Elephas maximus indicus: one gene and its partners. The protein of the gene in region 1 purifies or fractionates together with the protein of each later gene. This does not show direct contact. Links are inferred from orthologs where the notes say so. Each region holds a gene or a part of one and is shown in the gene's direction. Other genes may lie near its edges. The genes, in order: ERBB4, WWOX and signal transducer and activator of transcription 5A.

Region 1 (7,539 bases):
TAAGTCCACAGGGCTGAAATTATTTTGCAGTTTCAATCACAAACCGGAAAGGTCTATAAGAACTTGGACAGACACTGATGAATGGACATAAAGCAACACGGAATTGATTTACTTTTTAGTCACACCTCCTGAGCTCTTAAAAAATTAAGGCTTAATCACGTATATAAAAGGAAAACAACAGTTATTAACCCAAAACAAAATGATCTTGGGGAGGACTTCTTTGAGTGTTAAATTAATGTAACAAAAACATTTCTTTGGTTAGTGCATATTAATATATTCAAACATTTATTGAGCTTTGGCCTTAAAAATTAAATGTCACCAAATATCAGAGAATGCCAGAAATCAGAGGTTTAAGAGCAAAGCTATTATTTCAAGTGCTGAGTTAAAAAGCAAACAGAAAATACCAATATTGTGTTTGTCATCTGCTTGATCACCATAATACTGAATCTGACTGGTACTCAGCAACATTTCCTCTTAACTGGTAGAACAGTAAACATTCAATTCTTTACCACTACACAGTGATATAACTGTGAGCCTATCTGAATATTTTCCTAAGGTAGTTTAAGACACGTGTCTGCGTGGGTGGTCCAGACAGAGATGTGTATTGTGGGTAAGCGGGAAAGAGAAAGGAGGAGGTATGAGAGAGTATTAAAGTCTGTGAAAATTATGACTTACACTTAGTAGATGGTTAGTAAATCATAGACCCATAAAGTCTTGAAATTGAGAGTTTACAACAACAGGCATATGAAGCATATGAAGTAACTATCTCAAGATCACAAGATAACTTAGAAAAATGAATGGGGAGAAAAAAATAGAACCCTAGATTTATTTTTAAATATTCATAAGAAGATAATGGATTTACAATAGCGTTCCATTTCTTTTCTTAGTTGATATTTGTCCCCAATTTATATATATATAACTAATGGCAAAATGTGCTAACAGCAATCTCTAATCTCAGAAACAAACTAAAGATTATGTGAACTGTGGAATTCTGGGACAACGCTAGGGATCTACTTCGAGACTGAACACTCAGTTCAGTGTGTTTCTTTCTGGCACCATCATCATTCTGTCACACATGATATCAGAACTCTTTTTTTTAAATTATATTACTAATGGAAAAAATGAAGTGGAGAGGGGATTCAGGAGAGCAGCCCTGGACAAAGGCATCTATATGTCATGGTTATGGCTTCAACCAAAGGAAATCATGAGAAACCAGGAAAGGAGACTCAACAATATTGGCCATATCAAGATGTCTTCTTCAAGGATCATACTGGCATATATAATCTCATTTATGTTGGAGGGTCCCATTTTACACTCTTTAGGTTTCAGGTAACAAAAATGAAAACTGAACTAGCTGAAGGAAAAAGGGGGTTTGAAAAAATAAGCCTCAGGAAGAGCTTGGATATTCTCCAGACCCATCTGGGATTTTGCTCCTTTCAAATGGCAGCTTCATTCTTTCTTACTGCAGCCTAGTGATCTCTACATAGAAAGAAACATAGCCAGGCCAGGTCTGTAAATCTAGATCTCAAAAGCCACAATGAAAGACTGAATATGAGCTGTTTCTTTCTCATGCACACAGTCTCAGGGAAGAGTCTCAGTGGGAGTGACCATTTTTCACCTAATCAACAGTAACCTAGGCATTTTGATTGGTTCAGTGTAGAACTGGAGAGTCGGGGTAGGCTGTACCATAGAGGCAAATTCAGGTTAAAAATGTAGATCTGGAGGAAGGGCAGTTCCTCGAAATGGGGTACTAAGCAGATAATCTCCGGTGTTTGTCTGTTGGTTAGTAAAATACCTGTAGATACAACCATGTTAGATTAGTCAGTTTTATTTATTTTTTTTTTCAGATTTCGAGTAACAACAACACATGTAACTCAGTTGGTAGAGATTTATCATAAAGATGCATAGGAAAGTGAAGAAGTACAGAGATCAATTTTAGCAAGCCTCTAGCAATCCAGTTAGTATATCCCTCCTTCTACATCAGGTAGTAAATTGTCCCTACTCTGGTGTTCCTTCTTTATGACTCAGCCGAGACCAGAAACAAAATGACAGCATATACAGAAAGAACTAATTCTTGTCTCTGCCTCATGGCTTCTAATTTCTCATCCTTCAGACTTGCCCCCACAGGGTCCCACCCTCCTGTCTACATCTCCAGGTCTTAAATGATCTGAACTAGGCTCTGATTGGGAAGACCAGTCATCCTGAAATGTAGGATGCTTCTGCTTGGTAGTGCTTTCATGCCAATCCATCTTACAAGCTGCTGGTCAGACAATCACTTTTAACCAGGACCAATCATGTTTCAATTAGTTAGAGAGAGGAAAATGGGATCAAAGCAGAACAAACTGAGTATCTGAGGCCTTGTAGAGGCTATCTAGTATATATACACAAACACACACACATACAAAATAGACTAATTTTTTAACCAATGAATATTAATTGAAAACCCTCTTTTGCAAAGAATTATTCTAGAGGTGATGGGTGAGACCAAGATGTATGGAATTCCTGCCACAGAAGAGTAAGTATAAAATTGATGGGGGAGTGGGTGGTAAAAATGATCACAATGGATATGAGTAGAAAAAAAAAACCCAAAATATCCAGACTATTTTTTGCCCACAATTTAAGGTAAAATAAATAACCCATTTCTCACTTCTTACAACAGAACTGGTATCAGAAACAAAGACTTAGTTTTTTTAATAATGGAAATTTTAAAAAGAAGTAGCTTTCATGGAGGAGAGGTGTCTAAGAGTCATAAGAAGCAGAAGGGGATTTAAGGACAAAAGAGTGAGAAGAGATTGAATGAAAGGAAAGAAACCAGAGGGGGTGGGAGATAAAAGTAGAAAACAAAGATGATCCCAAAGAGCAGTAAGCACAGTTCTGCACAATCAGTACCATTCTGGTCAAGTCACCATCATCTCCTTTAGGCTTAACTGCTTCCCACCCTAGGCTGCTTCTGGGTAACAGAGCATGCTCATCTCCTTTGGCCTCCTCTCAAGGCCTGTTACTTGCTCTGGGCCTGAGAGGGAAGGCTTCAGGCTTCTGGGATAAGACTGCTCTTCCTATCTGTTCTCAGCTCCATGGAAATTCTTAAGGGACAGAGCTCTAGATAAAAGCTGAGGAACAAAGGAGAGGTCTTAAATGATGAGTGAAGAGGCAGGATGGCTTGATTTTTAAGCTCCCCTGATACTTTCTATTTATGTATTTGCTACTTCTAGAGAAAGCAAAAGGAAAATAATTCATACGTGAAATGCCTGTGCAAATTGCAAAGCAATAACCTACTACCCTCAGGAGGTTCTGGCCCCTGCCCTGGGTATAGTTTCAGAGTTATAGAAGGCAAGGGGTATGTATACTGATATGACCCGGTCCCAGGATATTTTAGATCCAGGGAAGGCCAGAGACTTCCAGAGCTAGCAATGACCTGGGACTGGGACCATGAACTTGCAGAGTGAGAACATGGAAGGGACCTAAAGCTTGATTCACTATAGAATAATCCTAATCATTTGAGGTCCGTTATCTCCTGACTTGGCCGCCTTAAATTCTTTCATACTAAACAGCTCACACTCTGGGCAACTTCTAGCTTTTCAGGACCAAATCAATACCTTTGGACTAGAATCTGAATAATGAGAATAAACCCAAACCAAGTTGTCCTAGAGCCCAAGAAAAGGGTGAAAACACCTATAAAGTCTAAAATCCAAACAATTTTACCTCCCCCTCCCAAGAAAAAAATCAAACCCATTGCCTTGCAGTCCATTCTGATTGCGACCCCATAGGACAGAGTAGAACTGCCCATAGGGTTTCCAAAGAGAGAGGCTGGTGGATTCGAATTGCCGACCTTCTGGTTATCAGCCCAACTGTTAATCACTGTACCAGCAGGGCTCCAAAAATTTTACAATCCATACAAATGTGGAGTTTTAGTTCGGCTCAGTGTCAGCCAGTTTGGGAAGGTGGGTGTTGGGAGAGACTGCATAGATGGGGAAGGAGGATGATTATACCCCACCACTACCTAATCTGCGGAGGCTCACACTACCCAAAAGTCAGTACTGAGTTTTAAACTATTTGCTTAGTGTGGAGCATGGGGGAACAGGGGAAGGAGGGAAATGTTTTGCCCGAAGCGACGTGGATTTTGCTTCTATTTCTAGGGATGTCTCTGGCTGTGGATTAGCACCTTGGGGCAATGGCGAATGGTGACTTCGTTTTTACGAAACAACCTTTAAACACCCCTCCGGTAATTTGCCCACTCCGCGGGCCAGCTGTCCTGGGCTTCTGCCGGGGCGGGAGGGGGAGTGTTTTAGTCGGTGGCCTCGGATTAGCCCTTTAATACCAGCTTCCCCCGCCCCCAACACCCTTCTCCATCTCCCTGACAGGTGTTTTCCCAACTCCTGAGGCCGAGGATTTTGGGGAGTGGCTGAGCCAATAAGATTTCCCTTTGGGGGGGGCGGGGGAGAAGGCGTGGCTAGTAGGGTCAGAGCAGGGGCGGGGATTGCGCGGCTGAGCAGAGCCTGCTTGGTTGCGTGGAGGGCTGTTTTATTTTATTTTTCCGGAGTCTCATTAATTTCTCTGTGGGGCTGCAGCTGGAGACCGCGGAGCGTTGGAAATGACGCTCGGAGCTTTAATTACCGCAGCCGCCGGACAAGTGTGAGGAAAAGCTGCGAGGGAAAGAAGGGCAGAATCAGGGGAGAAGCGAGAAGCTCCCCCCACCCCGCCCGCCCCTTCCCTCCTGATTTGGACTGGAGGTGCAGGGACCCAGAAAAAGGAGCCGAACGTAGCCCGGCTGGGGTGGAGAGGCCGGAAACCTACCGCCTCTTTGCAATCAACTTTTTTTGGAAACCTTTTTCCCCCTTCCTTTTTATTGTTGACCAACCAGAGCGAGAGAGAAAGTGAGGAGGGAGCGAGAAAGCAAAGGCTCACACGGGGACGTAGCTGCCCAGTCCGGCCGGCCCGAAGCACCACGCGCACACACTCGAGCACACTCCCACCGCACACACCCGCACGTATACTCGAGCCCCCTCCCCGGCCCCGGCCCCGGCCCCGTGCGCGTGGACTCCTTCACCCGCCTCGGAAGCGGTTCGCCGCGCGCGCCGCCCGCCAGCCCCCCTCGCGCCCCACGCGCTCCGGGCTGAGGAATCTTCTCCGCGTGCCAGAAAGGGGATATGCCATTTGGACATGTAATTGTCAGCACGGGATCTGAGACTTCCAAAAAATGAAGCTGGCGACAGGACTGTGGGTCTGGGTGAGCCTTCTTGTGGCGGCGGGGACCGTCCAGCCCAGCGCTTCTCAGTCAGGTGGGTCGCGGTTCCTGCTTCTCGCGCTCCAGTTGTTGAACCTGCTGCCGCCGGCTTGGTCGCCACGGGTGGCTCTCTCACCCTCTTGGTCCAACCGGAGACCCGCTCACTCCCAGGCGTGAAAGGACCACCCGATAGGGGCCTCTTCTTTGGGCTCTCGGTAGCCCTTCTTTCCATTCCTAAACTTACCCTGTGTGTATGTGTTTTGCTTTTGGTGAAAAATCCCTCTGCGTCCCGGCCCGCCTCTTTTTTTTTTTTTTTTTCTCTTAAACTCCCCTTTCTCTCGCGTTTTCTGTGAGCCTTAGCGGGATCCCTGTGGTCGCGCCTGTTGTCCGGGACATGCGAGAGCCAAAAGCTCAGTCAGAGGACGCTAGCCTCTCGCAGTCTCTGCCCGAAAAGGAAGAAGCCTGGGGGAAGCGTGCCCCGGCTGGGTGGCGGTGCCTGGCGGGCTCCTAAAGGGGAACGAGCTGTGGAAGGGGAGCTCCGAGAGCGGGCTTGCACCTGTGTGCGTGCTGGCGGGCGCTGCGCCCCCAGTCGCCGAGCCTTGCGGGGTCAGACCTAACTAGAGCCCAGCCGGGGCAGCCGGGGCGCGGCAGGCGGGCTCGCCTCGGTCCGGGGGCCCGGAACCCGGGGCCTCCTCGGCCGGCGTCTGGGAGTGCATTGGCTTGAGGGGCGCTGACTTGCCAGCCTGAGCTCTTTAAAAAAAAAAAAAAAAAAAAAAAAAAAGGCCTGGCACACTTGAGGCGGTTGCTGTGTTTGGCTCGGGGAAGAGTTGTTCCTGTAGTTCAACTTGCTATTGGCCGGAGTCCCTCCAAGTTCTCTGTTTACAGCCCGGCGGGGCTGCGGAGCCGGCCCGTCGCGCGAATTGATTTACCCCGAGGCGGGCGCGGCGGCTGCGCTCCAGGCGCGGCCACTGTTTGCTGGAGAACTTGAGCCCGGGATACCCCGGCAGGCCCTGGGCTCAGTGAATCCCTAAAGGCAGCGCAGCGGGGCCGGCGCTCCCGGCGGGCAGGACTGCTGACTGCACCTGCCGTGCGAGGGAGCGCAAAGTTTCTGACACTTGAGTTTCCTGGGAGATGACAGTGGGACAGGAAAGGAGAACAGAGGGGAACCCGTGGCCGAGTCGAGGGACAGGGGCCTTTTGGAGAGCCGGGTAGATTTCCGGATTCATCCGGGGCTGGTCACGGGAGCGTGGGAGGCGGCTTGAGGAGATAAAGCTTCCGGAGGAGGCGATAGGGAGAGCTTTAGGCCCCCGGAGTGTGTCCTTCTGACCTCACCAAGAAAACTGCGCGCAGTAGTTTTCCCGCTCCGCCTCCGCCGCCTCCCCCTCCTGCCTTGGTACACAACAAGTTATAATCGTCCAGGCTTTCCAAATGACCTTCGAATGGCACATGTGCACCGTTGGCGCTGGCCGTTTGTACCCTCCCAATTACTCCGAAATTCTTCATGCATACCAAGTCCCGCTCTCAAGCCGCCTCCAGAATTGTCACACCAACACAACACGGTCTGGAGATTCCAAGCGGCCTCTTAGATAACATCCCTTTTTTATCTCCCGCCCCGCTCCGATTCCCTTCATATTTTCCTTCAATGGGTTGATTACGCACATTGACCCATTCAAACGCAGTTGCGACTGCCACGCAGGGTTAGCTGAGAGGAATGTCAAGGAAGCGACCTACTGGGGGCTGTCTGGTGCAGCCTTAGTCGCTGGGGGACCCGACTCGAGTCCGCAGCAATTTGTTATTAACTGTGCGGCTCGGGGGTTAAGTTATGCCGAAAAGCCCTTTTCAGAATTTTTGCAAGGAATGTAATCCAAATTAGTTCTGCAGCTGTCCTCTTCCTCGTCTCAGGCGACACCGGCTCGCGCCCTCGCTAGTCTCTTCTCACTTCCCCCGGGCGAATTGTCAGACCCACAAGTGAGCCCATTTAGAGCGCAAGGATTAGCGTACCATTGTTGTTCCCTGTGTGACTCTGTACTTGAAATTCTAGGGGCACAAAGGCGAGCCTCACTTGTTCAAAACACAAAGTGATCTAGATGAAAGGGCCGCACAAAGAGCTCTCGGGCGCATCCCTGGTCTAATTGCAACACGCATACTCAGGTGATCCACTGGAAACTGTAAATGCCCTTGGGGACTTCTTTTTTCATCCTCTCTCCCCCTGTACGCCGCCGCACCTGGCAGGGAAAGTTAAACTGGTTTTAATGTAGTGCTATTATAAAACCAAGTTACTGTCTGGGGCGTGAGGGAGGTTCCGTGTGTTTGTG
Region 2 (7,832 bases), on another chromosome or scaffold:
GATCCCAATCTTTTAGATTTCACACAATAGAGAAAGACTTTTGTTTTTGGTATTTGTGTATTATTTTAGTGAGGTGGTTTAAATTGCGATGGTCACCTTTCTACTTGTGTCAAGAAGGTCACTTTAAAAATTAACAAAACAAAAACAAATGAAAAAACACTTGCCATCCTATCATCATTATTTCATAAAAGATAGAATATTTTAACACTGAAAAAGTTGGAAATAATGCCCAAAGCTTCTGTTTGTCCCCTCCCACCCCTGTCCTAGCTCCCAGGGGTCAGGCCCCACTGTTAGATGGTAGAGATAATGAAGCTTTTTCCCTCCAGCCTGATCAGAGCCCTGGTGGCTCAACAGTTGAGTGCTCGACTGCTGACCCAGAGGTTGGCTGAATGAACCTACCTAGCGGCTTCACGGGAAAAAGACCTGTTGATCTGCTTACTTAAAGATTACAGCCAAGAAAATCCTATGAGGTAGTTCTATTCTGTCACATGGGGTTGCTATAAGCTAAAATCGACTTGAGGGCACCTAACAACAACCAGGAAAACGTGGTAGTGTGGTGGTTAAGAGCTACGTCTGCTAACCAAAAGGTCGGCAGTTTGAATCCACCAGGCACTCCTTGGAAACTCTATGGGGCAGTTCTACTCTGTCCTATAGGGTCACTATGAGTCTATGAGTTGGAATCGACTCGATGGCAATGGGTTGGAACAACAACCTGCCTGAGAGGTGAAACTGGCTTCTGGCTGTTGCTAGTCTCTCGTTGTTGCTAATCATCAACCCCTATTTGTCTTCTCAGCTCTTCCATAACCTGCAATGAATTCCAAATGTGGACACACTGGAGTCTCTTTGCCTGATTGGACCCTGGCAGGTACATTAATAACATGTGTTGACACATTTAATCTTATAATAACACTATGAGGTAGGCACCACTATTATTTTCCATTTTTCAAAGACTCTAAGGGAAGTTAATTGACTTGACCAGGGTCACACAGCTTGTAAGTGACATTAATCAAAAAATCAAACCCATTGCAATCAAGTCAATTCTGACTCATAGTGACATTATACCAAAACAAATCCGTTGCTGTTGAGTCAGCTCTGACTCATAGTGACCGTATAGGGCAGAGTACAACAGCTCCACAGGGTTTCTAAGGAGGAGCTGGTAGATTTGAACTGCAGACCTTTTTTTGGTTAGCAGCGGAGCTCTTAACCACTGCGCCACCAGGGTTCCCATAGTGACTTTAACCCCCCCCAAAAAAAACAATCCAACCTGTTGCCATCGAGTCGATTCTACCTCATAGTTGAATTCCAAAGATAAATTAGGAAACCCTGACATCTGGGCTCTCCCCTTCCTTGCCTACCTATAAATCTTGATCTTAATTTCTCTTAGAACCCTCACATCATAGTTCTTTGTGTGTCTGTTGGTGTTATCCCAATTGACTGTGATTTCTGAATATAGCGAGTGTCTCATTTTCTCAATATTTTTCCCTCTGAGACATAGTGTATTTTTTTTTTCCACTCATATGTTTGAATGAATAAGTGAAATACAAACACACCTTTCCAAATAAGACCACATAGACCAGAAAAGAGTTTTTCCTAAAACACCTGTTCATCATTCCTCTTTGCTGGTTATCTCTTGGTAAAAAAGGTTAACAGAAGAGCCTTTATTGGGGTGTGTGTTTAGTGTTGGGAAGGAAATGACCACCATCCTCCTGGTAATGAGAATAAACTAAACCAATGAAGCTTTAGAAATGTTAAGGCAAAAACTTGTGCCCACTGCATATGTTTTTTTGAGTAGTACCAAATTTTGTTTTCAGCAAAAAAACAACAACAACAAAAAAAACCAGTCTTATGTTCATAAATTGTCAGATATTGCAGAAGTAATAAGAAAGCTGAAACGTAGAAATCCATAATTTGTCATGAGTTGGGCTGATAGGGCCATCTGGTGTCTAGTTGTATAACCACACTTTTTTTTAATAGTGTGAGCCAGTTAGCTTTTCAAAAACAAACCACTCTTTAGACTTTCTTAGGAGTACATTTTGAGGAGCTTGGCTCATTCCTGAATTTAAGGTTCCTCGAAACCATTATAATCGTACTATATAAGGGCCTGCCCTTTGATAAACCTTTTTAAAAGCAAAGTCAAAGCTATATGCAAGCTAGAAGTTATGGATTGGGGGGGGGAGGGGGTGGGGGAGAGAATGGAGGCAAAACTATGAGTAAACAGAGGAAGAAAGTAAGGAGAGAACAGAAAATGTGGCCCAAGAGCAAGGGGATTTGGGGGGGTGGGGGTGGCAAGAGACCGTGAAACCCATGAGAAAGAAAAAATGGGCCTGTCTTTGGGATCCCTCAGGCCCTGCTAATGTTATAGTTCATGTGTACAACCATAAATTCTTGAATGAGTCTTTAGTTTTTGTGAAGTCAAAAGAATACCCTAGAATCTGGCATGGTAATGCTAATCCTCACAAGTCCCCAAATGCCTGTATATCTTACTTTTTAAACCTTCTGATAAAGGCCAACAAATAAGATGTAAGGAGAGGGGGAATCAGATGAGGTCATGATAATCACTTGGGACCATTACTGGTGTCTGGGCCACCCACCCAGACTCCCTGCTGGCCCATGTCTCTCAGCTGCAGAGATGGGCTAGAAACTCAAGAGGCAGGTGTACTGGAACAATGCTACGGAACCTGTGGCTAAAACCAACAGGGTCCAAGTACCACTCTGTAGTCTCCTGTCAGAAATGGGCTCTTTGCCCCCCACGTCCCCATGGTGATCCCATGTATTTCAGAGTAGAACTCCTCCATAGGGTTTTCTTGGCTGTAATCTGTACAAAAGCAGTTTGCCAGGGCTTTCTTTCTCATAGCCACTTAGTGAATTCAAACCACCAACCTTTAGGTTAGTAGTTGAGCAAAAACAGCTTGCAGGACCCAGGCTCCTCTGGTCAGGGGTAACCCAAGATAATTATCTAAACAGTCAAGTCAGTCTTTGAGAAGCTGAGCACTGGCCACAGATAATGATTGGAGATACTGAGGCTAATCAGTTTGGCCCCATTCACCTGCCTTCCCACCACCAGGGGCCTTTAAGACCTAATTTCCTATTCATATTAAAAGAATGAGCGGGCTTGGGTAAGGTTGGGGGGTAAACCGGGGTGAGCAGAGGAGCAGCAGATTAACATACATATGTATTTATATATATAAAATGGCTTATTTAAATACACATGGATTTGGGAAAAAAATCATGTTTCGATAGGTTCGAGGTGGGATAGCAGGTCTGTTAAAATTAAAATGTGATTTCATTTAGTTAGATTTTGATTGGGCAATTTCAAAGGAAAGCAAGAAGTCTCTCAAGAGCATGCAAGCAGGTATCTAAAGCAATACCAATTTCAGGACTCAAAAAGACAAAAATAATACTGCTCACTTACAATACGTATTATTTTTTTTTCTGATACAGGCCTGTATATTTCTGAGACCTAGGCCAGAGAAATCATGGTCAACAGATCTCCCTGTAACACAGGGCTGGGAGCCAAGTTGCAAAGGGGGACTGTTCTGGAAAACTCTGTAACCAAGGCCTAGTTGAAGATATGCTTCAGGTTTTTTACACAGGACATTTGTAGGATGCTTGTCAGTGCTCCAGAGCCCTGATAGTGTAGTGGTTAAGAACTTAGCTGCTAACCAAAAGGTCTGCAGTTAGAATCCACCAGCTGATCCTTGGAAACCCTAGAGACAGTTCTACTCTGTCCTATAAATAGGGTCACTATGAGTCAGAAGGGAAACCCTGGTGGCATAGTGATTAAGTGCTACGGCTGCTAACCAAAGGGTCGGCAGTTCGAATCCGCCAGGCGATCCTTGGAAACTCTATGGGGCAGTTCTACTCTGTCCTATAGGGTCGCTATGAGTTGGAATCAACTCGACGGCACTGGGCTCTGGGTTATGAGTCAGAATTGACTTGATGGCAATGGGTTTGGTTTGGTTTGTCAGAACTCCAAGAGGACTTGAAGAAGCCTGCTTTGTAAATTTGAAATTTTGTTTTTAATTAGGGTTGATTCATAAAGGACCACCCCTAAGTGATGAAGGAATCACATTCACTCATTTCATTCATTCAATAAACGTGTAGGTCCAGGCATTTTACTAGATGTTAGTGATAAAAAAGAAGCCTAAGATACGATTTCTCTCAGTGTAGTGGGGAGTACACAGATAATTATAATGCAGTAATAGTGTATCAACTGCCCATATTCCCAGCTCTTGGCTTTCTAGCTGTGCATCCTTGGGTAGTTAGCTAACACCTCACGAAGGTGTCCCATACATGACAGAGTTAGTCTGTGAATTTCTAACCAGGGACCCGATGTTAAACGCTCGATAAATGTTAGTTATTAATGGAATCACGCTGAAGAGGGACGAGACTTCTGTCAGACTGCCTGTCACCTGAAAACGCGGGAATTTGCATTTTTAACGTTCTCCAGGCGATTTATAGGCCCAACAAAGTTTGTGACTCACACACAGCCTGGGTGATGGAGAGCCCGGGAAGGTTTCTCTGAAGGGGCATTCACTCTTCATAAGGCCCTAAAACAAGAAAATGCTGCAGTCCGGCGAACCACCCTCGGAATCTTTTCCTGTTGGCGCCGCTTTCTAGCACGGGTGTGCCTGGACTACATCTCCCAGGATGCCCCATTGCTAGAGCTCCCGCAGGATTGGTCAGAATAACGCGGAAGGGATTACGCTCTCCCAGCAACGGGTGAAGCCCTGGACAGTGACAGGATGCGCACGCCCCTTCCCTGCGGCCTGCAGCTTGACGAAGCGCCACTCCATTTCCAGAAACGTGGAGCGTTCTCCGGCTTTTAATTCCAGCCGAATGGCCGTGCGACCTCCTAGGTGCTTTCACCACGCTTCTCCTCGGGCCCCGCCCATTTTCGCTTGGCAGTTTTGAAACTCTGGAGACTGGATTGCAGCTACGGAGTCAGCTGAGCGACTTTGGGCGGCGCAGTGCGCAGGCGCGAGCGGTCGGGGAACAACGCGCGCGGCACTCGGTTGAAGCGGGAGTTTCTGGGTGAGGAGACCCGGCGGCAGGCGACCCAACGAGTGGGTGACAGAGCACCTCCTCACACCGCCATGGCAGCCTTGCGCTACGCAGGCCTGGACGACACGGACAGCGAAGACGAGCTGCCTCCGGGCTGGGAGGAGAGAACCACCAAGGACGGCTGGGTTTACTATGCCAAGTAAGGGGGCCGCAGTGGGCGCCGCCGGGCCAGGACGCACCTGGAACCCGACGGCCTCACGTGCCCGGCCACTCCACTGCCCTCGCACGCCACCTGCGCGGCACCGTGGGCCTGCGTGGCGAGGGCGGTGCAAAGTGGAAGTAATTGCTGGAGAGTTTCAGCTGAAGGGCTTCGCCGGTCCCGAGAAGGGGCTGGCCCCTCTTCTTGAGCCCTGGGTCAAGCGAGGGTCACCTGGCAACGTCAGGCGCGCCCTCTGCTGTCCAGGAGGCAGCACTGCACGGCGCAGTGGTGGGCAAACTGGCCTTATCCAAAAACAGTAATACAGAAGATAAAACAACGTGCAGAAGTCCACGTCCCTCCTCGGGGGTCTGGGGAGGGGGCCTGGGAATATGTACCTTTTAACAAATGCCTTACAGAGTTTCATTATCCTTTCCTGGGAAAGTCCTGAAAACGCTCGCAGACCCTTCAGAGTCTTAGCACCATCATTTGTTTTATAACCTTGGGCAACTGAAAAAAACACTCTCAGTTTTCTCATCGGTAAAATGGGTTGCTATGAGGTTGGTCCAGGCACTGTGCGTAAAACACTTAACAGAAGGTGTCTTAAATACTAATAATAAAAGTAATAAATAATAACTGTTAGCCTTTCCCACTGTCTCTGCAGCTAGGGAGTGTCTTAAGTACAAATACTGAGTCTCCACAAGGCCCCTCTTTTATTACACTGACATGGGTGACTGGTCTTGACTGGTTCCCATAGCTGGAAGGTACATCTTTCCAGACCTCTGCTGGGCGGTCTGGTCTTTGACCTTTCCTAAGCCTGGATTCTCAACAGTCCCCTTGATCTCTCCTGACATGTGTGAGTGTCTCTGGCCTTTCTTTTCCCTCCTAACTCTGGAAGGGCCACTAGTCTTTCTCTTGCGGGTTGGGAAACTTTGATAATGTGCATTCACAAAGATTGTCCTTCAAGTCATTTTTCCAACATGTTTTCCTTTCACTGCAGCAGGGCCAGGCCCAAGGCCAGGGCTGATGGGACAGAAGCTGTAGCTCCTATTGAGACCTTGTGGAAACCCCTTTTCCAGCTTTACCCTTTTCCTGCTTACCAGGTCACCTTTACTGATGCCCCATGTGTACTGAGAGACACCTTGCATGGAACCCCCACCAGCCTGGGGTCTCCAGGGAGAGGCAGTCATCCACTGTTTCCAGGGTCTTATCAAGTAAGGGGAGCTCTGGGACATTCACACCCACTGAGGGCAGACCTCCCGCTAGAGAGAGCTAGCCAGTCCTTTCTCCCCTCCCTGCAGTGGTCTAAAGTGGCCCTTCTGTGGCAGATGGGTGGAGGAACAAGGTGCCGGTGCTGGGGTCTTCCTGAATCCTTCCCACTCGCCCCTTTTTTTCTGCCCAGGCCTCTTGGCTGCCAGAATACAGCCAGCCTTTCCCTGTTGAAAGGTGGTTCTTTTCCACAGGATGCTCGCCTGGGCTCTTCTTCCTCACTGTGAGCTCTAGATCTCTGTGCCAACTTACAGAAACTATGCTTAAAAAAATCCAAAAACTTGGACGAGCATACATGAAAGTGATGTTCATATAATGTAGTATAAATGTAATTTTGATCCCTTTGGTTTGAATTAAAATCACCAATAATTATTTCTTTAAATGACAAAAAGCTTATTGAAAAAAAATGAAAGAAGGCTTCTATTTAAGGAAGATAACACTTTGGGGACTTGTTATAATTTACTCTTTATTAAAAACTTACTTTAGGCTACAATTAAAAAGAATAACTTTTAATTAATTTTTACATGTAAGTCTTCACTTTGAAAAACTGTGTGGAAGGCATAGTTCTGAGCTCTTCACACATGTTAGCTTGTTCAGTCCTTTCTATAACCCTGAGTAGGTGTCACCATAGGGATGCCTGGTGGTAGTGTTAAGCCCTCAGCTGTTAACCAAAACTTGTGAGCAGTGTGAACCCACGAGTGGCTCTACAGAAGGAAAGACCTGGTGATCTGCTCCTGTAAAGGTTGCAGCCTAGGAAACTGCATGGGTCAGTTCTACTCTCTCGCATGGGGCCTCTATGAGACGGCACCTAACAGCAGCAATATGTGTTACTATTATGTTCATTTTACTGATGAGGAAACTGAGGCACAGGGAGGTTAAACAGTATCTTCCAGGGCATGCAGCTGGTAAGTGGGAAAGCCAAGCTCCGGAGTCCTCAACCACAAAATTACTCTCTTCATTTAGACCCAAGGGTTCTGCCTTCAGGGCACCTGTGCCCCTCAGGACAGATGTGTGCCGCAGGCTGCAGATCTGAGCCCTGTGTTCCCCTGGCAGGAATTTGAGGTCTATCTCTGGTTGTTATTGTCTTTGAGGGGGCTGGGATTGGGGATTACTGTCCAGTGACTCGCTTGTTCCTGTTCCAGGGAGCAGGTGCCTTAAAGATCCTCAGGGCAGACTGGAAACGGCCGGTGTAAGCTGAGAAATTGAATTAGGCAAGGGCCTGCTCACTCCGACCTGGTGTGATGCTTCCTGTCCTGCAGGTCACTTGGTCTCTCTCATCCCTTTCGCTTGTCTTTTTCCTGATCCCGCCCTCTCTGGCCCTGGTTTCCCATTGTCACCCTCACCACTGTTGGAAAAATGACCT
Region 3 (7,457 bases), on another chromosome or scaffold:
ACGCCAAAGCCTTGTGTTTTCCTCTCCACCACACTGACTATATGAAAGATGAGGAGGCTTGCACCAGGTGGCCAAGGCAGGAATGGCACACCAGGTAGGTGGAACACAGGAGGCAAAGACGTGAGGTTGAGGGAGGTCAGTGTATTGGGGCAACGACAGGGCTGAAGCATGGAGTGAAGGGAAGGCTTATGCTTGGCACTGATCCCAGCAGGCAATGATGACCAAGCCAGTAGCCAGAGAGGAGGGACTGGGGCATTAGCCAGGTCTTCTTTTTGGCTTTATATCCCCCATTTGCTCCTTGGGCTAGCACGCCCTTTATGAACCTTGGAGCACAGCAGCAGGCAGGGAAGATGTGGGTGGGTCTACGTGCTTAAGAAATCAGGAAACGATGAGAAACAGAGACATGGAGAGGAACTCCCTCCAATCATAACAAAGGCAAGTGGGAGAGTGGTGGGGGTGGTAGGGACGGAGATGGACAGCCCCCCCCAACACAATGCCTAGAGGGCTTGAGGTTGGGTACAGGGCTGGCTAAGGCACAAAAGAGTTCTTGTTGGGCTGAAGAAGGAGAACCTAGCTTAGCGGGAAGAGGGGCCTGATAGTCATCGTGAATCAGGATGAGAAGCAGACCTAACCCTGGGCTGCTCAGGACAGCACCAGCCCCACTCAGCGGCCCAGCCCCATCCAGTGGCTCACCTCTCCTCTATGAGGAGCACTTGAAAAGGGCAGTCTCCCCACTCCCTTGCTGGGGAGCACAGACCCTGCATCCCCTCTCCTTGTCTAAAGAGAACCGGGCCTGGGCCCCTCTCCCCCAAGGCAGTTGGGCAGGGCAGCTGGGCAAAGGAAGGCAGAATTTCCCCCTTCCATCCACACTGTCCAGTCCTGCCCCCCTCCCCACACTCTTCCCAGAAACGGAAAACAGTCAATATGCCTCAGGCGGGATAGCCTTGTGTTCTCTTGGTGACTTCACTGTAAACTGGCTTCCCTGAAGAATGATGGGGGACAGGGGACAGGGGCAAAAAGGCAGATCAGGCTTTACCAGGGACCCAGCAGCGCCTTACCCTCCTCCAAATTCATACCAAATTCCTCACCATGCACAAAGATGCCCTCTTTAGGTCCTCATCTGTCTTCATGGACAAGAATGGGGGCAGCATTTCTACAGGGAGATCCCAGGGTGAGGAGGCTTGAGAACGGGCCTTCTAAGAGCTAGGGGATGGGGCTGGAGTGGAGGTGAACAAGCTAAGCAGAGACATGGTGGGGTGAAGCAGGATATTTAAGACCCCAAGGGTTTCAGCTCTCCGCCCCCCCCCCCCCCCACCTGGGTGCAGAGCTACTTCCTGGAATGCCTCCAGCTTTCCTGGGAAGGCCCTTCACTCCCACCCCCCCTCCCCCTGGCTCCCACGCAGCAGGAGCTCTCCTTGAAGAAGAGACTTGGAGCAGAGGAAACAAAGGCATCTCTGTCCACCTCCCCACCCTCAGGAATGGTCAGGTCAAGGTGACCTCAATCTGTTCTCCCCAGGTAGGGGCATCTGCAGGGCCTTTTCAGCTAACCTGGTCCCCAATGGCAAGGCAGGGGACTGGGGACAATTCTTTTCTTCCTCCATAAACTGAACCCACTTTCACATAAGGCCTCTATTCAACAGAGGAGGGGCATGGGCTGGCATGGGGGTGGAGGTGCCATGCTCCGCACCACACAACAGTTATGGGCTGACCCCATCAAAGGGAGACATCCACATTCTGCAAGTGTGTGCTGGGGTTGGGAGAGATGGAATGTCTGCACTGGGACCCTGCCCACAGGGCCAGGCAACGTGGATCCTGGTGCCGCTCACTGCTCAGACAGCTTTGGACAGCTCTCTTTCCTGGACTAACCAAAGGGGATGATTTTGGCCCCGTCTACGAAGTGTACAACCACGTTTGCTCACGAATATGCCATGATTTAGTTCAGAATATGTGTATAGTGTGCTAACTACAGACTAAGCTGGGGACGGTTATTATTCCTAATAAAATATGGCCAGTCTTCTCTTTGGTGAAGTATTCCATAAGATTTTTTACTTGTTCCTTACTTTTCACCTAATTCCGTGCCTTAGAATTGGGGGTGGGAGGCAGTAGGGGCAAGGAGGCCAGCCTGGGACCCCAGCTTAGTGTAGACCCTAAGCACTTTCTGATCTTCCTGAACCCCAACCCCTAGGCCTCAGTTTTCTCCTTCATAGAATGGGCCCCTAAAACCACCAGGTGCTTTGTGGTGGGAAATAGCAGAGACCAAACCAGGGGACTGAAAGCAAAAAGAAACCCCAAATTTGACATTTCCGGGTAGTTGTGTTATCTGGAGCCATGACCACAGCCGCCTCTGCCCCCAACCCAACTCTGATGTCCTCCCCTCCCCCACTCCCTTGGGTGGCCTTTGCCAATCCTGGGAAGGCTCCAAAACTCCTCTCACTCCCCACTGCTTCTCAAGGTGAGAACACAGACACAAAGACACAAAGAAAACAGGCAAAGAAGGACACCCAGCTCTGTGTCTGATCCTGCCTGCTCATAGCACAGAGTGGGAGGAAGGAGAGAAGGGATTGTGATTTCTCCTCCCTAAGGTTCTGCTGGTGGCGTACTGGTTAAGTGATACGGCTGTTACCAAGAGGCTGGCAGTTCAAATCTGCCAGGCACTCCTTGGAAGCTCTGTGGGGCAGTTCTACTCTGTCCTATAGGGTCGCTATGAGTGAGTCGGAATCGACTCGGCAGTGGGTTCGGAAGGCTTTCCTGGGAAACCCTGGTGGTTTAGTGGTTAAGTGCTATGGCTGCTAATCAAGAGGTCGGCAGTTGAAATCTGCCAGGCGCTCCTTGGAAACTCTCTGAGACAGTTCTACTCTGTCCTATAGCGTCACTATGAGTCGGACTCCACAGCAGTGGGTTTAGTTTTATTTTTAAGGGTCTCCTGGAACATCCGTGGGGTAAGGTTTCCCCAGTCCTCTACGCACCCCTTATGGTTTTCAATTCCCTTCCTTGTGACCTTACCAAACATGGAAAGAAAGGGGGATGGGGTGGGACCCAGACATTTCACCTACTTACACTTTAAACCTAAATGTTTCTTTGAAGTAAAAACATTGAAAGTAGGGGAGATAATGGTGCGATCAGGGAGGGGTAAGGGGGCATGGGGAGCAGGGAATGGAGAGAAAAGGGCAGATCTAAGAAGGGATTTGGGAGGGAGGGAGGGAGGCAGATGAGAACGAGCCCCGGAGGACATGCAGCCTTGGCCCAGCTGTGCTGTAAGTGGGCAGCCAAGCTGGCCCCTCCCTTGGTGCTGCCAATACCAGCTGCCAGAGAGAGGGGAGGCCCAGGGGAGAGGGAAGCTGGGCAAAGGGAATGGAAGGGTTCCAGTTTGGCCTTACCCAACCAGGAGAGCCCTGTTGGGGGGCTGTCAGAGGGGGCAGGGTTGTGACCCAGGCAAGGTCCCTGGAAGGGGGTTGGCTACTGTGGCAAGGTCTACAGGAGGCTGTAAGGGCTGTGAGTGGGATTCACGACAATCCCTCCCTGGACCTTTTGAAGGTAGGACCAGCCTCAGATGTAACTGGGCTGGGGTGAGGGGAAGGGCAGGACAACTTATGGACCATACTCAGGGGACTAGATCTAGCTGTGTGACCCTCGCAAGCCCCTTCCCCTCTCTAGACTTCAATTTCTTATCTGCAAATTTTTGGAGGCTCAATACATGAATGTCAAGGTCCTTGCCCGTTCCTACTGCAGCGGGTGAGTCGACGGTGCTGGGACTAATGGAAAGAGGTGCTGGCGGTGAGCTCCACTTCTCTGGAATCCCCAGGCCTTCCCCTTGCTAAGCTCTGCCTCTGACTTCACAAAACCTGTGCCCCCAACCCACATAAACACACACAAATTTTTTTTTTTTTCTTAATCTAGAGACAAAAGATGACAAAACGCCGGAGCTGGAAGCCATCTCTAGCTAGTCCAGCCCTTCCCACCTCCCTTTTCACAGATGAGAAAACTGAGCCCCTGGTTTGGGATTTCCAGGGCCCGGGGTTTTCCAGCCCTACCCTACACCCCCAGCGGCCACTCCTGCGCCTGTTGCCCGCCACCATTCCCGGACGCTCCTGCGGAGCCTCAGGCTGGCTGGGACTCCCGGGGGACCCCGCCGTCGGGGCAGCCCCCACGCGCGGCGCCGCCCAGCCTCGGGGCCCGGGGCCCGGCCGCGGCCGCCGCTGCGCACTCGCCGGGGAACCAGCGACCGAGGGCGGAGGCAGGGAGCGAGCGAGGCGGCAGGGAGGGGTGTTGGGAGAGCTCGCGCGCTGTGTATGGTCTATTGGAGGCAGCTGACCTTTGAGGAGGAAATCGCTGCTCTCTGCTCCTTCCTGTAGTAACAGCCGCCGCCGCCGCCGGGAGCTCGGGCCGGAGTGAGAGTCGCTGGCGGTTAGCCGGCCCCGCCGCCGGACGGCTCTGCCCCATCAGGTGGGTGAGTGGCCTGGCGGCGCGTCCCCGGCGGTGCGCGCGATAAGGGGTGCGCGCCTCCTGCCCGGGTCCCGCGCCCTGGGACCCCAGGGGCCAGACGGGAGGAGGCAGGGAACAGTCCCCGACTGAAAAGGAGCTTCGTTGCAGTGCGCACAGCTGACAAGGGAAGAGGATGGAAGGAGGGGGCCTGGCCCGCAGTGGGGAGGGGGCGCTGTCGTGCTGGACAGGTGACTCGGGGGCGCGGCTCGGGGGCCCAGCCGATGGCCAAGCGTCCGGGCCCCAACCCCCTCTGCTTAACAACTCCAGCCGCGTGCCCGCCGGGACCCAGCCGTCGAGTGAGAGTGGTCGCTGGCGCTGGCCTAATTTGGACTGTAACTACCCCTTTCCCAGATATTGGGACTCGGGGTCCGAGGCAGGGAGGAGGGGGAAACTCTTGCAGCCCTCCTGAGGACTTTGGCCCCGCTGCCATGTTTCTCTTTCAGTTTCTGGCAGTCCCCCCGCCCGCGCCCCCCCACCCCCTGGGGAAGCCCCGGTGGGGCGAGGGGAGAGGAAGAGGGGGAGGGCACCTGACTCTCGAGAGCCCCTCCCCAAGCCTCAGCGGGTTCCTTGTTAGAGAGAAGGGCGGCCTTCCCCTCCTCACCGTCTTTCTTCCCGCACAGGAAAGCGTGTCTGTGGGAGGGGAGGGGCTTGGCCTGACTGCGGTCCAGGGATGGGTGGGCACGGCCCGGCTCAGGGAGGCCCAGCTCTTGGCCTCTGTGGAGGAGGTGACCCTTCAGCCTCCGCTTGCCCTAGGTGAACAGCCATGGCGGGCTGGATCCAGGCCCAGCAGCTGCAGGGAGATGCGCTGCGCCAGATGCAGGTGCTCTATGGGCAGCACTTCCCCATCGAGGTCCGCCACTACTTGGCGCAGTGGATTGAGAGCCAGCCATGGTAGGTGGCCCCAGCCCTGCGCCCTCCTCTGCAGTCCCTACCATTCAGGCCCCTTGACCTCTGACTCTCCGCTTTGTAGATTGGTGTGACTCTCCTCCAGTCTGTCCCTCACTGTGCAAAAGGGGCGGTGTCCCTGGGAAAGGGGAACAGGGAAATGGAGAGGGGATGTTTCTAGACTCTGATGCCTGTGGAACTACCGGGAGCAAGTCTTGTGGGCCCTAGAGTGCCCTTAGTCACAAGCCTGGGTTTTCCATGCCCTTCTTGGTGCCCCACATCCTTGTCCAAGCAGGTGCCATAGTAGGCTTCTTTCCCCTGTCCTGCCCCAAGGGATGCCATCGACCTAGACAATCCCCAGGACCGAGCCCAGGCCACCCAGCTCCTAGAGGGCCTGGTGCAGGAGCTGCAGAAGAAGGCCGAGCACCAAGTGGGGGAAGATGGGTTTTTACTGAAGATCAAGCTGGGGCACTATGCCACACAGCTCCAGGTGGGTGTGAGCGCTGGGCCATCTATAGGGAGGCAGTGTCCGTCTGCCTTCTTCCAGCATCAGAGCCCCTGGGTTTTTTTCCTGGCCTGGCCGCTGACTCACAATGTGACCCTGAGCTTATCTGCAACTTTTCAGTGCTTCAATTTCCCCCACCCCCTCTTTCTAAATCAGACATGTCAGATTCCTTTACCATATTACAAAGCAAGGGGTGTTGGATGTTTGTCCCAAGAGAAGGAAGATGGGTGGAACAGCATGATGGACAGATCAAGCAAAGGAAGTATCTTCAGTGACAGCAGAAGGGATGGAGGTAGACTGAGTCAGGATTCCTCTGTTGAAGGAAGACTGGCAGATTCTGAAGTGAGGGAATATGGCAACCAGACACCCCTCTTGGGGCTCTTTGAAACCTGGGAGAGGAGCTGAACTGAGGGACGGAAAATGAGCAGAGTTGTCCTGAAGGCAAGAGCTGGATAAAAGGGCCTGGAATGGAGAGTTCAGATGTGAGGCGTAGTTTTACCTTCACATGGGGGAAGGGGAGAGGGGAAGGAGAAGAAGTTTTTGTGGAAGCAGGAAAGGGGTGTAGGTGGTGATCACAGTCAAGCATATATTGAAACTCACTTGTATTTCTTAATTTCTTAGAGAGCCTTAAATACAAACAGCACGGTCCCTGGGAAATAAAAAGTCCATCCCAAAAGAAGGAGAAAACAAGAGAAACTTGGGGTAGGGGGAGCAAATTAGGAACCCAGGAGCAGGGGTATAGTGGAAATTGCTTTGATCTTGGCATTAGATGCCCTGAGTCTCAAACTTGAGTTAGCTGCTTGCTCTCTTGTTTGCCTCTGGACAAGTACTTAACCTCTCTGAGCATCAGTTTTCCCATCTGTGATGTGGACATAATAGTTTCAGCTTATGTCATGGGGTTTCTATGCTGTGAGAGCCGAAGGGGATGGTAGATTGGAAGTGCTTTGTAAGCTGTGAGTTTCTAATTCACTGCCGACCAAACATGAAGACCGGGGAGGGGAAGTCGAGTCAAGGAGAGACAAGAGCTGTCTGGTGATAGTTCCTGAGGCTTCCTGGGGAAGGCTGAGGCAGAGGCTGGAGGAGAGGAAGGGGTGGTCATGGCACTGGATGGACATGGCTGGAGCAGAGTGTGGGCACTGGTGGTTGCTCTTGGATTCTTTCAGAACACATACGACCGCTGCCCCATGGAGCTGGTCCGCTGCATCCGCCACATTCTGTACAATGAACAGAGGCTGGTCCGAGAAGCCAACAATGTAAGTGTCCCATGGGTGTGGGAAGAGGAGTTGCGAAGTCCTTCCACACGTTCTTCTCCACAGACACAACTGCGTTTCTATAGAACGCTGGCATGAGGAGAACCAGTGAAATAAGAGACACAGGCAACTGTGAGAGGCAGTATTACATTCAGGTACAGAGTGACTGCCCATGTTCAATCTCGGGCTTTACCGCTTGCTAGCTGTCTGATTTGGGCAGGTTACTTAACCTCTCTGAGCCTCTGTTTCTTCCTTTGTAAAATGGGGATAATAACAGTACCTATCTCATAGGGTTGTTGTGAGAATTAAATGAGATACCATTTGGGCCTGGGATA

What was found.
Region 2: the proteins of ERBB4 (region 1) and WWOX purify together in Homo sapiens (affinity purification with western blotting; 4 studies listed by BioGRID). This does not show direct contact. The link is inferred for Elephas maximus indicus from reciprocal best matches to the Homo sapiens genes ERBB4 and WWOX.
Region 3: the proteins of ERBB4 (region 1) and signal transducer and activator of transcription 5A purify together in Homo sapiens (affinity purification with western blotting; 3 studies listed by BioGRID, with this or other methods). This does not show direct contact. The link is inferred for Elephas maximus indicus from reciprocal best matches to the Homo sapiens genes ERBB4 and STAT5A.

What each region holds. Positions count from the first base shown.
Region 1 is NC_064824.1:111,015,198-111,022,736, reverse strand, and holds the start of ERBB4 (receptor tyrosine-protein kinase erbB-4), read left to right. Parts: upstream 1-4,495; 5' UTR 4,496-5,197; coding exon 5,198-5,279; intron 5,280-7,539. UniProt on the Homo sapiens protein: Tyrosine-protein kinase that plays an essential role as cell surface receptor for neuregulins and EGF family members and regulates development of the heart, the central nervous system and the mammary gland, gene transcription, cell proliferation, differentiation, migration and apoptosis.
Region 2 is NC_064839.1:43,876,017-43,883,848, forward strand, and holds the start of WWOX (WW domain-containing oxidoreductase), read left to right. Parts: upstream 1-4,762; 5' UTR 4,763-5,096; coding exon 5,097-5,203; intron 5,204-7,832. UniProt on the Homo sapiens protein: Putative oxidoreductase. Acts as a tumor suppressor and plays a role in apoptosis. Required for normal bone development. May function synergistically with p53/TP53 to control genotoxic stress-induced cell death.
Region 3 is NC_064837.1:49,224,067-49,231,523, forward strand, and holds the start of signal transducer and activator of transcription 5A, read left to right. Parts: upstream 1-4,357; 5' UTR 4,358-4,443; exon of another isoform or gene 4,444-4,447; intron 4,448-5,235; 5' UTR 5,236-5,245; coding exon 5,246-5,373; intron 5,374-5,700; coding exon 5,701-5,857; intron 5,858-7,035; coding exon 7,036-7,125; intron 7,126-7,457. UniProt on the Homo sapiens protein: Carries out a dual function: signal transduction and activation of transcription. Mediates cellular responses to the cytokine KITLG/SCF and other growth factors. Mediates cellular responses to ERBB4.